Linked DNA regions of Diceros bicornis minor. Each later gene encodes a partner of the first gene's protein in a complex. Links are inferred from orthologs where the notes say so. Each region holds a gene or a part of one and is shown on either strand. Other genes may lie near its edges.

Region 1 (6,188 bases):
TTTAAACTTTTATTTTGTATGTAACTGTATTAGCTGCCTGTTGCTGCTATAACATAACATTTTCACAGGTTCAGTGGCAGGCATTAGGATATGGACATCTTTGAGGTCTCATGACTTGCCTGCGGTAGTGTATTTGTAAACTACAAGAAAATGGTAAGCACAACATTGTTGTGTATTAATTAGAGTAGCCAGGGATGAGGTTATGATTAATCAGAGAAATTCTTCATCAGTCATTTATGAAAGGAAGCAAAGGTTCTCACATGAAATTGAGAATAAAAGTTTATAAGTCCATCTCCTTCTACTGTTAAGTATATTAATGTGGCAAAGCATGGTTAAATGCTCTGAAATTACTAAGACAACGTTAAAGGCTGATTCTAAAATGTTTTGATTTAGATTAAAATCTATTTAAACTTTATACCAAACTGGGCTTGAGATGTAGGCTTTAGAAAGTGTAGATAATGGTACACTCTTGCCAAAATTTGAGTTTTTGCTAACTTTGGGATCTATGGGCTTGTCTTAATGTAATGTAGTTTTTGTGAAATTTTCAGCTCTTTGTAAAACCAGTGTAAGTAAATTTCTATCTAGTCGAGAAATTCTGTTAAGGTTTATTATGCTAAAAATTAGGTAAATGGCAGTTGATCTTTGGCAGACATGTTTGATCATTTGTACAAGCTCAAGGCATTTTTTAGAGTGTGTATCTGGAACCCACAAGTTCTAGCTCTCTAAGTAGTTGATGACCTCAGGCAGAGCAGGAAACTTTCAGAGGTCTCAGGTGAATACTTACTTATTTTGGAGTATGTACCACCTATGATATACATAAATTACCCATCTCCCTTAATCCAGACAAAAGCCACGGGAGGCGGGAAATATTGTGCCAGTTTTAAAGCTGAGGAGGTGGTGAAGACTGGGTTTGAATCCAAGTGTAGATGACTCTAGAACACCCGCACTTTTACCGTCCTGACTCACTTTTGGTAAGTTGAGAGGTTTGTCCATAGATTAATGATTTTCAGACGGTGCTGTAAGGCTCTGTGCTGACCCTTTGAAAGTCTGGGAAAAAATGAAATATTTTTTTGCTCGAGGAATCAGTTATCCCCCCTTGTTTTATGCATGTGGCTTCTGTCTTAATTCTCTTTGGAAAGAATTTCTCTGCCTAAAACATTTGAAGTCTCCTGCGCTAGAAACCAGAGGCACATCTAGAATGAATATGTATTAGAAAATAAAAACGTAGGTGATAGTAGTTTATATTTGTCAATGGACAGACTGTATCTGTTTTCAATTATATTTCTATTCCTAATGATACTTTGTGTAGCCTAATATTAAGATGAGGTCAAGGTGATTGAACAAACTATTAATAGGGTGGGGATGTGATTAGAGTTAAAATTTGATACTGAAAGTGGGTAATCTACAGTTTCCTGCACTGGGCTCACTCCCCACACCAGCTCTTGCTGCGTTTAAAGGCTGCCCTAAGCATGATGTCATGACGAGTTAAACCTCTGAATGCACTAGCTGAGGCGATGCAAATCTGAGACCCAGGATTTGATTGGGGCAAGGGTATTGCTTGTTTAAAAACAAAACAAGCTGCTCTATTTAATGAGGCCATTTAAGATGGCTTTCCCAGAGAGAGAATATAATCTCAATTTGGAGGTTAAAGTAGGAGTTTAATATGGTTATGTGTGTTTACTTCTCTCACTGCAAAGTCTTTTCGGAGAGAAGGGGAGTTTAAAATATGGTGCCGACGGGTAGAAATGGAAAAGTGAGTTAGAATTGAGGAAATACAGTAGTTGACGCCCCGTAAATAGTTACTGAATGAAGTGGGGAGAATGCTTTTACTCTATAAAAAGTTAAGAGTTCGCACGGTTTATCAGCAGGGTATAGTGCAGAGAAGAGCGCTTGTGTGGCCACATGTTTCCTAGACTCTCTGTAGTTCTTGGGTTGAAACCGTACGCAATTGCCGATATCCGACTATTTCGGCCTTCAAAAATGGCATGTTTCGTCCTAAATGTATGCTGGTGGAATGCTGAGGCGTGCACAATGTCGCTGGGGTAGGGGTTTTGCCCCGCTGGGTGGGAGTCGCACAAGGTGGGGCCCGGGTGCTGCGCTGGGCCGGTGGGGTGGAGCTTGCTGGCCCCTGAGCCCTGCCCCTCCCGCCGGCCCCGCCCCGCGCCGGGCGGGCGGCAGTGCCTTGGGCGCCGCAGTGAGGCCGGCTGGCGCTCCCGGTTGGAGCAGGCCTTCCCAGTTGCGACCCGGCTCCAGCTCCCGCTCCAAACGGACCTCCTGGCGGGCCGGACCCTGCAGTAGCTCCAGAGCCGCCTCGGAGAGCGCGCCTCCTCCCCCCGCCGCCGCACACTCTGCAGCCGCGTCCTTCACCAGAGCTGGCCGGAGCCTAGCTGATGAATCTGGGGACGACAGACTTCCAAGACAGACCGAGGTTTAGGGCCCAGCAGAGGATAGCTCAGCGATGGCTCCCATTTTTGGAGACGCAGGCAAATTTGAGCTCCCGGGAAGGTGTGGTCGACTCCTCTGTCTTTGCCTCCGTAGCCCGTGCTTCTGCAGAGTGAATGGAGTGTCTGGAGCAGGGCCCTGACCGTCGCTTCTTGGCAGCGGACATGCTTAGGAAGGTGTCCAGGAAGGGCCTCTGTTACAGATTGTCTTTGCTTCTGGGGCAGCGGCTATGAGTTGCCCGATTTCCAATGACCGGGAAGTCCGGGAAGTCTGCCTTACCTTTTCTGTGCTCCTGGAGGGGCATCTTGCTCACTTGTTTACCAGCAGCTGGGACAAGGAAGAGAAAAGGTATTGACATTAAGAGACTGGTTGGGGCCCGCCCGGTGGCGCAAGGGGTTCAGCGCCCGCGCTCCGCTGCCGAGGCCCGGAGTTCACCGGGTCGGATCCCACACCGAGGCACTGCTTGGCAGGCCATGCTGTGGTGGCGTCCCATAAGGAAGATGGGCACGGATGTTAGCCCAGGGCCAGTCTTCCTCAGCAAACAAAGAGGAGGATTGGCAGATGTTAGCACAGGGCTGATCTTCCTCACAAAAAAAAAAAAAAGAGAGAGAGACTGGTTGCTTAAACTGTGAAACGGGACAAAGTTGTTGTAAGCCAGGGGAATCTGACTGGATCAGGGAATAGCTGCAGCATAATTGAGCTCACAGTGACGTTTCTTTTGATCTGCTGTACTTTTCTCAGTTTAAATCAAATTTCACGTTATGTCATGACTTCTGCAGGGTTGTCCAAAGACACTTGAGTCCTTGGTTCCTACTGCAGGGCTGCTGTGTGGTTGGGATTCTTTTTCTGTTTGAAGATGGAGCTAGGTTCCCACCTCTGGAGCTTTGGGAGGTTTTAGCAGCTGCTCTCTTGTAATACCTCCATTCACAAGAAATATTGGCTACATGTCACTTGTTTTCACACTTTGAATAGGAATTTAAATTGTGCTTTCTAGAATGTTTGGAAAAATAAGAAAGATACATTGTAACATGAGCCTGAACTATTGATGATAAACATATAACTGTTTTGCTAGGTCAAGAAATTAAAGTGTTTTTCTTGCTTAGTAAGTTACATTATGTTGATTTGATTACAAACTGAGTTTACTGCCCCTCCATGTGATTAGCTGTTTTGGTTTAGTGATTTGAAAGGCATTGGTGGCTTAGACTGTTTTGTGCTCAAGGAGCCACTTTCCATTTATTATGTTTGCTCACTTCAGTGAGCAGCATAAAATGGACCATGAAATAGACATACAGCATACATACAGGGCGTTTGGGCAATGCTGACCCATTGTTTTACAAGTGACCTAAAATGATGGATCATCATATGCACAAAGAATCTCCTCAGGGGGAAGCTGGATTACAAGAGAGTACCTTTATAGTCTCTTTGTTGGGCTAGGACACCTGTGGTGTACAGGGCTTCGATGATGGGAACTGATTCGTGTGCTCCATGTGATGAGCTACATTATGGTGGAATTCTGCTGTACTTTTGTTTCCCTTTGAACTTTAGAGAGAGTGGAATTTATCTTTTTTTTCTCTTTGCATCCTCAACCCCCATTTAAGGTGTGTATCCTTGAGTAATCTAGAACTCAGATTGTATTTACATGGTCACATTGGTAACCAGCATTGTTTTTTGAAAGTTAAATTCTTTGAAACAGAATAACAATTATAATTGAGAAAACATTAAATTTGAGGCATTAAATTTTAATTTTGTGGAAATATGGCTTATATAGTTACTGGGAGTACACTCCTGGACATCGACTGCTCTTTTGTCACCCCCCAGATAAACAGTGGCCTGCCGTATCCCAGCAAAGGTAGATTCCTGGGAAAAGGTGCTTGTGTCATCTTTCCTTCAGTCTGACAAGTTAGTTACATTGTTGATCATTCCTTCCAGATGACATTTCTCTCTTAAATAATAATGTTTATTACTGTGCTGATGAACGCTCCAGCAACATTGGTGAACTCTAGGGTACAAGGAATTCTTTAGCTGTTGACTCTTTCCCTGAGCTCCAATGTTGTGAGTGTGTGTCTGGTGCTTTTATATTTATTCTTTTTTTTTCCTTCTTGAGGAAGATTTGCCCTGAGCTAGCGTCTGTTACCAATCTTCCTCTTTTTTTGCTTGAGGAAGATTGTTGCTGAGCTATCATCCGTGCCCATTTTCCTCTATTTTGTATATGGGACACGACCACAGCATGGCTTGATGAGCAGTGTGTAGATTCAGGCCTGGGATCGGAACCTGCGAACCCTGGCTGCTGAAGTGGAGTGCGTGAACTTAACCACTATGCCACAGGGCTGGCCCCTGTCTTCCTTATTTACCTTCTTTTCCTTGCTTTCCTTCTCCTTTGCAAATTATATCTGATTTATATTAATGGAATGGAAGTAGACTAGAATGATTTACTTTCTCTAAGTACCAGACTAAAAACTTTGAGGATGGCCCTCCATTTCTCTTGTCCCTCTTTTGAGGGAGGTACTGATCAGTAGGAAACAAGATTAATACCCAGCTAATGTTAAGGAGCTAGAGGATGAAGATGGAGGATGGCAGCAGGCCCTTCCCCTTGCGATGCCCTCCATTCCCCAAATATGCCTCTAGAGCAGATAACTGTTCACCATTAAGAGGAATTAATCAAAGTCAACTCCCTGGGGATCCTTTGGATCACTTACAAGGCCCTGTAGCTTTCAACAGCTGACACAGAATGGGAAAGAAATAGACTGAGTAGGGAAATTGAACACAGGGAGGAGAAAGTCCAATCAAAATTGACTTGATTGAACTTAAGCTTAGTTGTTTCTGGTCCAGTTTCTCTTTCAGCATTTATTCCATGTAGTCCATCCAGGGACAATTTTTAACATTTTTTTAAGAAAGGGAATTCTAAATGTGTTCTGGAACATTTTGAAAAGAGATTTTATCCAGTGTACAACTCCTAATAATCAAAATGTATATTTTATGTCATTTATATGTTTTTTAACCTATTTATTTTCCTTTATTCTTTTGCTCACAGTAAATTTTGCATGGAGCTTCAGTATTTCTGGCATGTAAACATTATTTATAAAATAAGTTATAGTTGTAATTATTTTTCTCCTGCCTCCTTTTATTTTTATTCATGTTTTTATTACAGAAATGAGCCGTCAGACTGCAACAGCATTACCTACTGGAACCTCAAAGTGTACACCGTCCCAGAGGGTGCCTGCCCTGACTGGCACAACTGCGTCCAACAATGACTTGGCGAGTCTTTTTGAGTGTCCGGTCTGCTTTGACTATGTGTTACCACCCATTCTTCAATGTCAGAGTGGCCATCTCGTTTGTAGCAACTGTCGCCCAAAGCTCACATGTTGTCCAACTTGCCGGGGCCCATTGGGATCCATTCGCAACTTGGCTATGGAGAAGGTGGCCAATTCAGTACTTTTCCCTTGTAAATATGCCTCTTCTGGATGTGAAATAACTCTGCCACACACAGAAAAAGCAGACCACGAGGAGCTCTGTGAGTTTAGGCCTTATTCCTGTCCGTGCCCTGGTGCTTCCTGTAAATGGCAAGGCTCTTTGGATGCTGTGATGCCCCACCTGATGCATCAGCATAAATCCATTACAACCCTGCAGGGAGAGGATATAGTTTTCCTTGCTACAGACATTAATCTTCCTGGTGCTGTTGACTGGGTGATGATGCAGTCCTGTTTTGGCTTTCACTTCATGTTAGTCTTGGAGAAACAGGAAAAATA
Region 2 (6,188 bases), on another chromosome or scaffold:
AATGGAGGGAAAAACCTGGGCAAACACTCCGATATGCGATACCCTCCTGGATCACTGAAAACGCACCTGCCCTTTTCTTCTCATACCAATACATGGCCTCCCAAAATTTGTTTCTATTTTCTAGCAATAGAGCCAACATTTTATGAAGTTCAAGAGTTAGAGAGACTGTGAGAAAATTAATGGTCTTAAAAATGTTTTCCCAGTTATCCTGTCATACTGCAAAATGCATAAGATCTTTATAAACAAGGTATTCCTTTTTCTTAAAATAACTTTACATTCTGGCTTGATACTAGCAATCTGACAGGAAGACTCTTACATCACAGCCTGAGATCACACGAAAGGCTCAATATAAAAATCTTCAAATGCTTGATAACTCAGTATAATATCCTAAACACTGAGTTTGAAAGTCTTTGTTTCTTTTTTTTTTGTTTTTAACAATTTATTTATTTATTTATTTTCCCCCCAAAGCCCCAGTAGATAGTTGTATGTCATAGCTGCACATCCTTCTAGTTGCTGTATGTGGGACGCGGCCTCAGCATGGCTGGAGAAGCGGTGCCTCAGTGCACGCCCGGGATCCGAACCCGGGCCGCCAGCAGTGGATCTCGAGCACTTAACCGCTAAGCCACGGGGCCGGGCCTTTGTTTCTTAATAGTCTTATAAAATGCAGTAACAGAAAAACGAATGCTTTTCTTTTACCCAAGCCTTATATTATCTCATTTAACTGAGATGCCCTGTTTCACCTGTCTGCAACTGATAACATAGTACAGAATCCAACTGGGCCCAGTCTACTGTCCATACTCTACGCCCTCCCCCAAAATCATATTACTAAGACGAAAATAATTACAAACTCATCTTTTGAGCATAGAACCAAGATGCTTTAGTTCAAAGCAATCTTTTTTATTATAATGGTTTTAAAAAATTCACATTGATTCTAATACCAACATGATAAAAGTAATGAAATGTAAAATGAGTATACCTGTTCCTAGAGTTAAAAAAAGAAAAGAAAGGAAAATGTATCAAGTCTAAACAAGGCGTTTTACTTCTTGACTAGAACAGGAATCCTTTCTGTTGGAGATTCAGAAAAGAACTCAGAATGAAGCACGAGATTCCCAGGCCCCCTTTCTGGCCAGTTTTGGCTCTGAAGTAGTACACCAGCGAGGTCTTACAGCAGGCCTGGTTCAGGTAACTCCTCTGTTCTGTTACTGGCAGACCTGAAACCAGTAAGAGCGATCCCTCTGGTGCTTTTCCTGCACACACACTTTAAGAGCTCTTAGCTACAGCAGTTTCTCATCTAACTGATCTTGGCATTCATCTGTTTTCCTTATGCAAACTGCATTTCCCTTTCCACAAACATTCAAGCTTTATCGTCTAATCTATTTACAAATTCTTCACTAGAAGGCATTAAAACCAAAGTGCTCTGAAATGGGCAAAGGTCTTAGACATTTCTCCAAAGATACATACAATGGCCAGCAAGCACATGAAAAGATACTCAACATTAGTAGTCATTAAGGAAATGTACATCAAAACCACAGTGAGCTACCACTTCACACTCACCAGGATGGCTAACGTCAACAACAAAATACAAAATCCCAGAAAATAATAAGTGTTGACAAGCATGTGCAGAAATTGGAACCTTCATACATTGCTTGTAGAAATGTAAAATGGTGCAGCCATCTGGAAAAGAGTTTATCAGTTTCTGAGAGTTAGTTATCATATGCCCCTGCAATTCGACTCCTAGGTATAAACCTTAGAGAACTGAAAACATAACATTCACGTAAAAAGTCCTACACAAGTATTCCTGGCAGCATTGTTCATAATAACCAAAAAGTGGAAAGAATCCAAATGCCCATCAATGATGAATGGATAAACAAAATGTGCTAAATCCATACGATGGAATATTATTCAGCCATAAAAAGGAATACATGCCACACCATGGATGAACTTGAAAACATTATGCTAAGTGAAAGAAGGCAAAAAGCAAAGGCCACATATTCTAAGACTCCATATATACGAAGTGCCCAGAATAGGCAAACCCATAGAGACAGAATGTAGATTAGTGCTTGCTGGGGCGGGGGGAAGGGAAATGGGGAGTGACTGCTTAATGGACACTTAGGTTTCTTTTGGGGGTAATGAAATATTCTGTAGTTAGTGATGGTTGTGCAACACTATGAATATACTAAAAAGCACTAAATTGTACACTTTAAAATGGTTACAGTGAATTTTATCTAAAACACTCCCCCCCCAAGTGTCCCTAACTGTATATTTTTAAGTACCTCAATTGAGAAAGTCCCTTACTTGGAAGAAGATTAACACTGAGCTCCCCATAGGTATGACTGTCAAGTCACTTCAGAGATTCTTCCTCGGGGCCCATGGTAACCCAAGTCCTGTCTCTATCACAACAAACTCGTGGAAGTTATTCAGAATAATACTAAACACATACACACCTTTTCTTCATTTTAGGCAGCTTCTTAGATTTATTTGAGATTTCTCAGGCTTGTTCATATTGAGGAAAAAATTTCCAGAAAACAAATCCAGTTAATACACACCCAACACTTCACTGTGAATAAGTGTTAGGTATTGACAGGCTACTCAGGCCAGGAAGAGCGACGCAAGAATCATTATTCCCATTTTGTACCCGCGCAAACTACGTCTGCAAACAAGTTAAGCTGCCCCTGTTCAGAGTTCATCGAGCTTAAAAGAGAAAAAGACTATTTCCTACCGCTAGTTACAACTTTCCAATGTATTTACTTTTAAAAACGCATATAGCAGACTGCTCTGCGCCCAGCACTGTTTTCAACATTTACAACAAGCACTCCGTCCTTCTCACCCTCGGAAACGGATACTCCTGCGGCACGGCGCAGCACCGTCACCTGCCCAAAGTCACAGAGCTGGTCGTCCGTGTAGAGAAGACACGAGGAGAATCCAAGTGCTGGGACCCAAGACTGCTCACCTTCCCAGGGCTTCCCAGCACGCAACGACACCCAGGTTTGGCCATCAGCTTTAATTTAACGAGGCCCTCCGTCCTCGGGCCCGTATAACGGGAGCGGAAGGGCCCGAGGAAAACGCGACGGTGACCGGCGCGCTCCAGGCCACCAGCGGCACCGCCGGCGCCGAGGCTCACGACACACCCCCGTTCCCCACCCTCCGGAGGGCCCGCTGAGCGCGGGCCGGGGCCGAGCGGCGATTTTCCCGGGAAGCGGAGGCCCGCGGGGCCGGGCGGCACCACGCGCCGCTGCAGGTGCGCGAGCGAAGCGCGGGGACCCCCGGGGCAGCTCAGCACGGGCGGGGGCGCTGAGAGCCGCAGCAGGGCCGGGAGGAAGGCGAGGCCGGCCCCTTACCTCCTCCGGAGCTGAAGCCATGGCCGGGCTGGGTCACGCGAGGCCGGGGCTGCAGACGCACCAGGGAGAGCAGGAAACGCCGCCCCGAGCGCGCTCCGCCGAGCGCAGACCGCGGGCACGAGTCGCAGGGCTCGCAGCCTGTGCGCACACCCGACCCTGCGCGAGACCGCGGCCCGCCTCCCGCACGCGGCGCCTCTGGAACCTTCGCGAGCCCGTCGCCGCGCTTCCCCGCCCCCCGAGCGCCGCCCGCTGAGCTCAGCCCCGCCCAGCCGAGCCTGGCCCGCTCCGCCCGCCGAACCTCGTAGCAACGCTCAACTCTCGCGAGCAAACTGACAGTTCGAGAAGAGTAACGCCTCTTCCTCTCCGCCCCGGGAACTGAACGTTTAATACTTTGACCCCGTTTGCCCCGGCTGCGCAGTCGCAGCTCGGAACCACTGCCTTCCGTACCTTAACCCCACCCCGGAAGTAACGTACCGATCTTCGGGGTCCAAATCGGAAGTTGCCTAGAGAGGCGGCTGCTTCCGTCCCCTCTAGGACACCGGGCCAACGAGGCAGGCATTTTTGTCTGGGGGTAGTCTGTGAGCCTTTGCGAGGAAAGGACGAAATAAGGGGGAGCATGGGCAGCCTATTTATTTTAAAACGGGAACGAACGAGGACGTTAAGTGTGGGGGCTCCTTTGGTTTTTCAGTGGGTTCTGGCGCTCTGGAGACATCACCACGATTTAGCATCTGCGACGTGGCGGCGTCATCAAGGGCTGCGCTGGGAGGTGGGGTTGAGTTCGCTACGTGACCGGACCCCATGTCGCAGCCGAGGGTTAAGGTTTCCCGTACGAGGCGCCTCGCCCTCCGACGGTTATTGTGCTTCCGCCTTTCCCTCGTGACTGTCGAAGCCCCTCCCTGGTGCCTTCGCCCTCTTGACCAACTGTTCTGCGAGTCTCTGGTTCTCACCCGGGTTTGGATTCGTTTTAAGTGAGCCTGTTAGCATCAGAGAAAATGTGGGTTGAGTTTTCCCGGGCCTGCATTCTGCCCCCCTTCTGGTTCCAGCAGCCCCGCTTAGTAAGGCCCCTGAGAAACCCACTTTTCGGACCATTTTAGCCTTTTGCAGCCTCATGATTTCTGCAACATGGTTGAGAACATAAACAGTAATCTCTGAGAAGTCAGATAGCCTGCACTCAGCTTTATGTGTCACGCAAGATAGCGAGTAGGATCAGCAAGTCAGAGAAGGAAAAAGGCTACTAGGAAAATGCAGACTGACCGTTATCGTAGTAAAGAGGAATCAGAAGTACAGTACGAAAATAGTCAAATTACAGCCACACACAACGTGCCTGAATCTCACAAACATGACGTTCAAGGAAAGAAGCCAGACATAGAAAAGTACATATCGTTTGGTTCCATTTAAATGAAGTCTAAAAACAGTAAAACTAGCCTAGAGTGTTAAAAATCAGGATAGTCCTTCCTGGGGTGGGGAGGACCATGATAGAAAGGAGCCGCGAGGGAGCTTTTGAGGTTCAGATAATGTTCTGTTTCTTGAGTTGGATGCTGGTTACAGGTGTGTTCACTTTGTAGAAATTTCATTGTGCTGTAAACTTACATTTGTGTAGTTCCTTTTGTATGTTATGCTTAACTACAAGTTATTTAAGTAGGCCCAGGAGGGAATTTTCCCGAGATGATAGAAATGTTACACACACATACAGTTGTCAAAATTCATAGAATGAACTCCTAAGATCTGTGCTTTTATTGTATATTATATGTCAGTTTTTTAAAAAATGTCCACCGGAAAGCTTGGAATTATTTAGGTACTTAATAGGAACAAATATCCCATTGCACTGTGTGAAAGCTTGACCTAATGCAGTGATTTTGAAATTTGCTTGATTATGCACCTGGGGCAACTCCTCCCCCCACATATCCTAAAGTCATGAGATATGAAATACTGTTTATTATCCAGTGACTCCTGAATCTATATCTTCAGCTCCACTATGCTTCTGAGCTCCAGACTTGGCTTCTGCTTGGATGTAGAATGAGGAAATTCAGCTTGTCTAAAAAACAAAAAAAACTCCTCCTCCCAATTTTTCATCCTCGCACCCCAAATCAGTTCCTCCAATTCTTCTCCAGCTCTGTGCCTAGTCAGCTCGTGCTCGTTAACTGCTCATGCCAAGGAGTCATAAGTCTCAGTCTCAGGTCCTACCTCCCATCGTATAGCAAGTCTTGCTGGCTTTACCTTCAAAATATGTCTAGAAATCAAACCACTTCTCACAAGCTCCCCTGCTACCACCCAAGACCAAGCCAAACGTTGTATTCGCCTCATTAGTTAACGAGGGAACCAATAAGATGTTAAAACTGTTATCAAAGTGCCTTTGCAAAGCTGGGTACTTACAGACAATTTAACAATGGAATGTTAGTGTAAGGTTGTGAAGTTAGATACAAACTGGTTAATGTCCTACAGGGTAATAAACTACATATGACCTCTGGAGTTACCTCTTCCACTGGAAAGTAGAAATCTGCATCCCTCCTGTACCAACATCTGGAGGTTACCATGTAACTTCACTAAGTGTAGGACCTTGAATCAATAGTGAGCAGTGAGTTCCACTTCCTGTTCATGTCAAGACCACTCATGACCTCATAACTGCCAAATTCAGTAGATATTTTCTGAATAATTTGACTCCTTTACTTTTTACATAAAATTTCTCCTTTAGAATATCACATGGGCCAAAACAAGCTGTCTGTGGTCAGGGTTTGGGCCACCAACTGTAATTTTAGAATATCTGATTAATATTTTTTAAATATATGCTGAATTCTAAGAGGAGCTGACTAATCTCTTAGCTCTTACTTAGGTTTCATTCACTCTCAGAAA

The links. Proteins that work in one complex are often made in the same cells at the same time.
Region 2: the proteins of SIAH1 (region 1) and CACYBP are in contact, whole or in part, in a crystal structure (PDB 2A25), measured with the Homo sapiens proteins. The link is inferred for Diceros bicornis minor from reciprocal best matches to the Homo sapiens genes SIAH1 and CACYBP. Residues at the interface, in NP_003022.3 of Homo sapiens: Leu158, Gln159, Asp162, Ile163, Val164, Phe165, Leu166, Ala167, Thr168, Val176, Asp177, Trp178, Val179, Met180, Asn276; in NP_055227.1 of Homo sapiens: Lys59, Pro60, Ala61, Ala62, Val63, Val64, Ala65, Pro66, Ile67.

What each region holds. Positions count from the first base shown.
Region 1 is NC_080771.1:2,321,373-2,327,560, reverse strand, and holds the start of SIAH1 (E3 ubiquitin-protein ligase SIAH1), read left to right. Parts: upstream 1-2,179; 5' UTR 2,180-2,690; coding exon 2,691-2,790; intron 2,791-5,590; coding exon 5,591-6,188. UniProt on the Homo sapiens protein: E3 ubiquitin-protein ligase that mediates ubiquitination and subsequent proteasomal degradation of target proteins.
Region 2 is NC_080743.1:91,513,136-91,519,323, forward strand, and holds the start of CACYBP (calcyclin-binding protein), read right to left. Parts: upstream 3,506-6,188; 5' UTR 3,360-3,505; coding exon 3,339-3,359; intron 2,494-3,338; exon of another isoform or gene 2,445-2,493; intron 1-2,444. UniProt on the Homo sapiens protein: May be involved in calcium-dependent ubiquitination and subsequent proteasomal degradation of target proteins. Probably serves as a molecular bridge in ubiquitin E3 complexes. Participates in the ubiquitin-mediated degradation of beta-catenin (CTNNB1).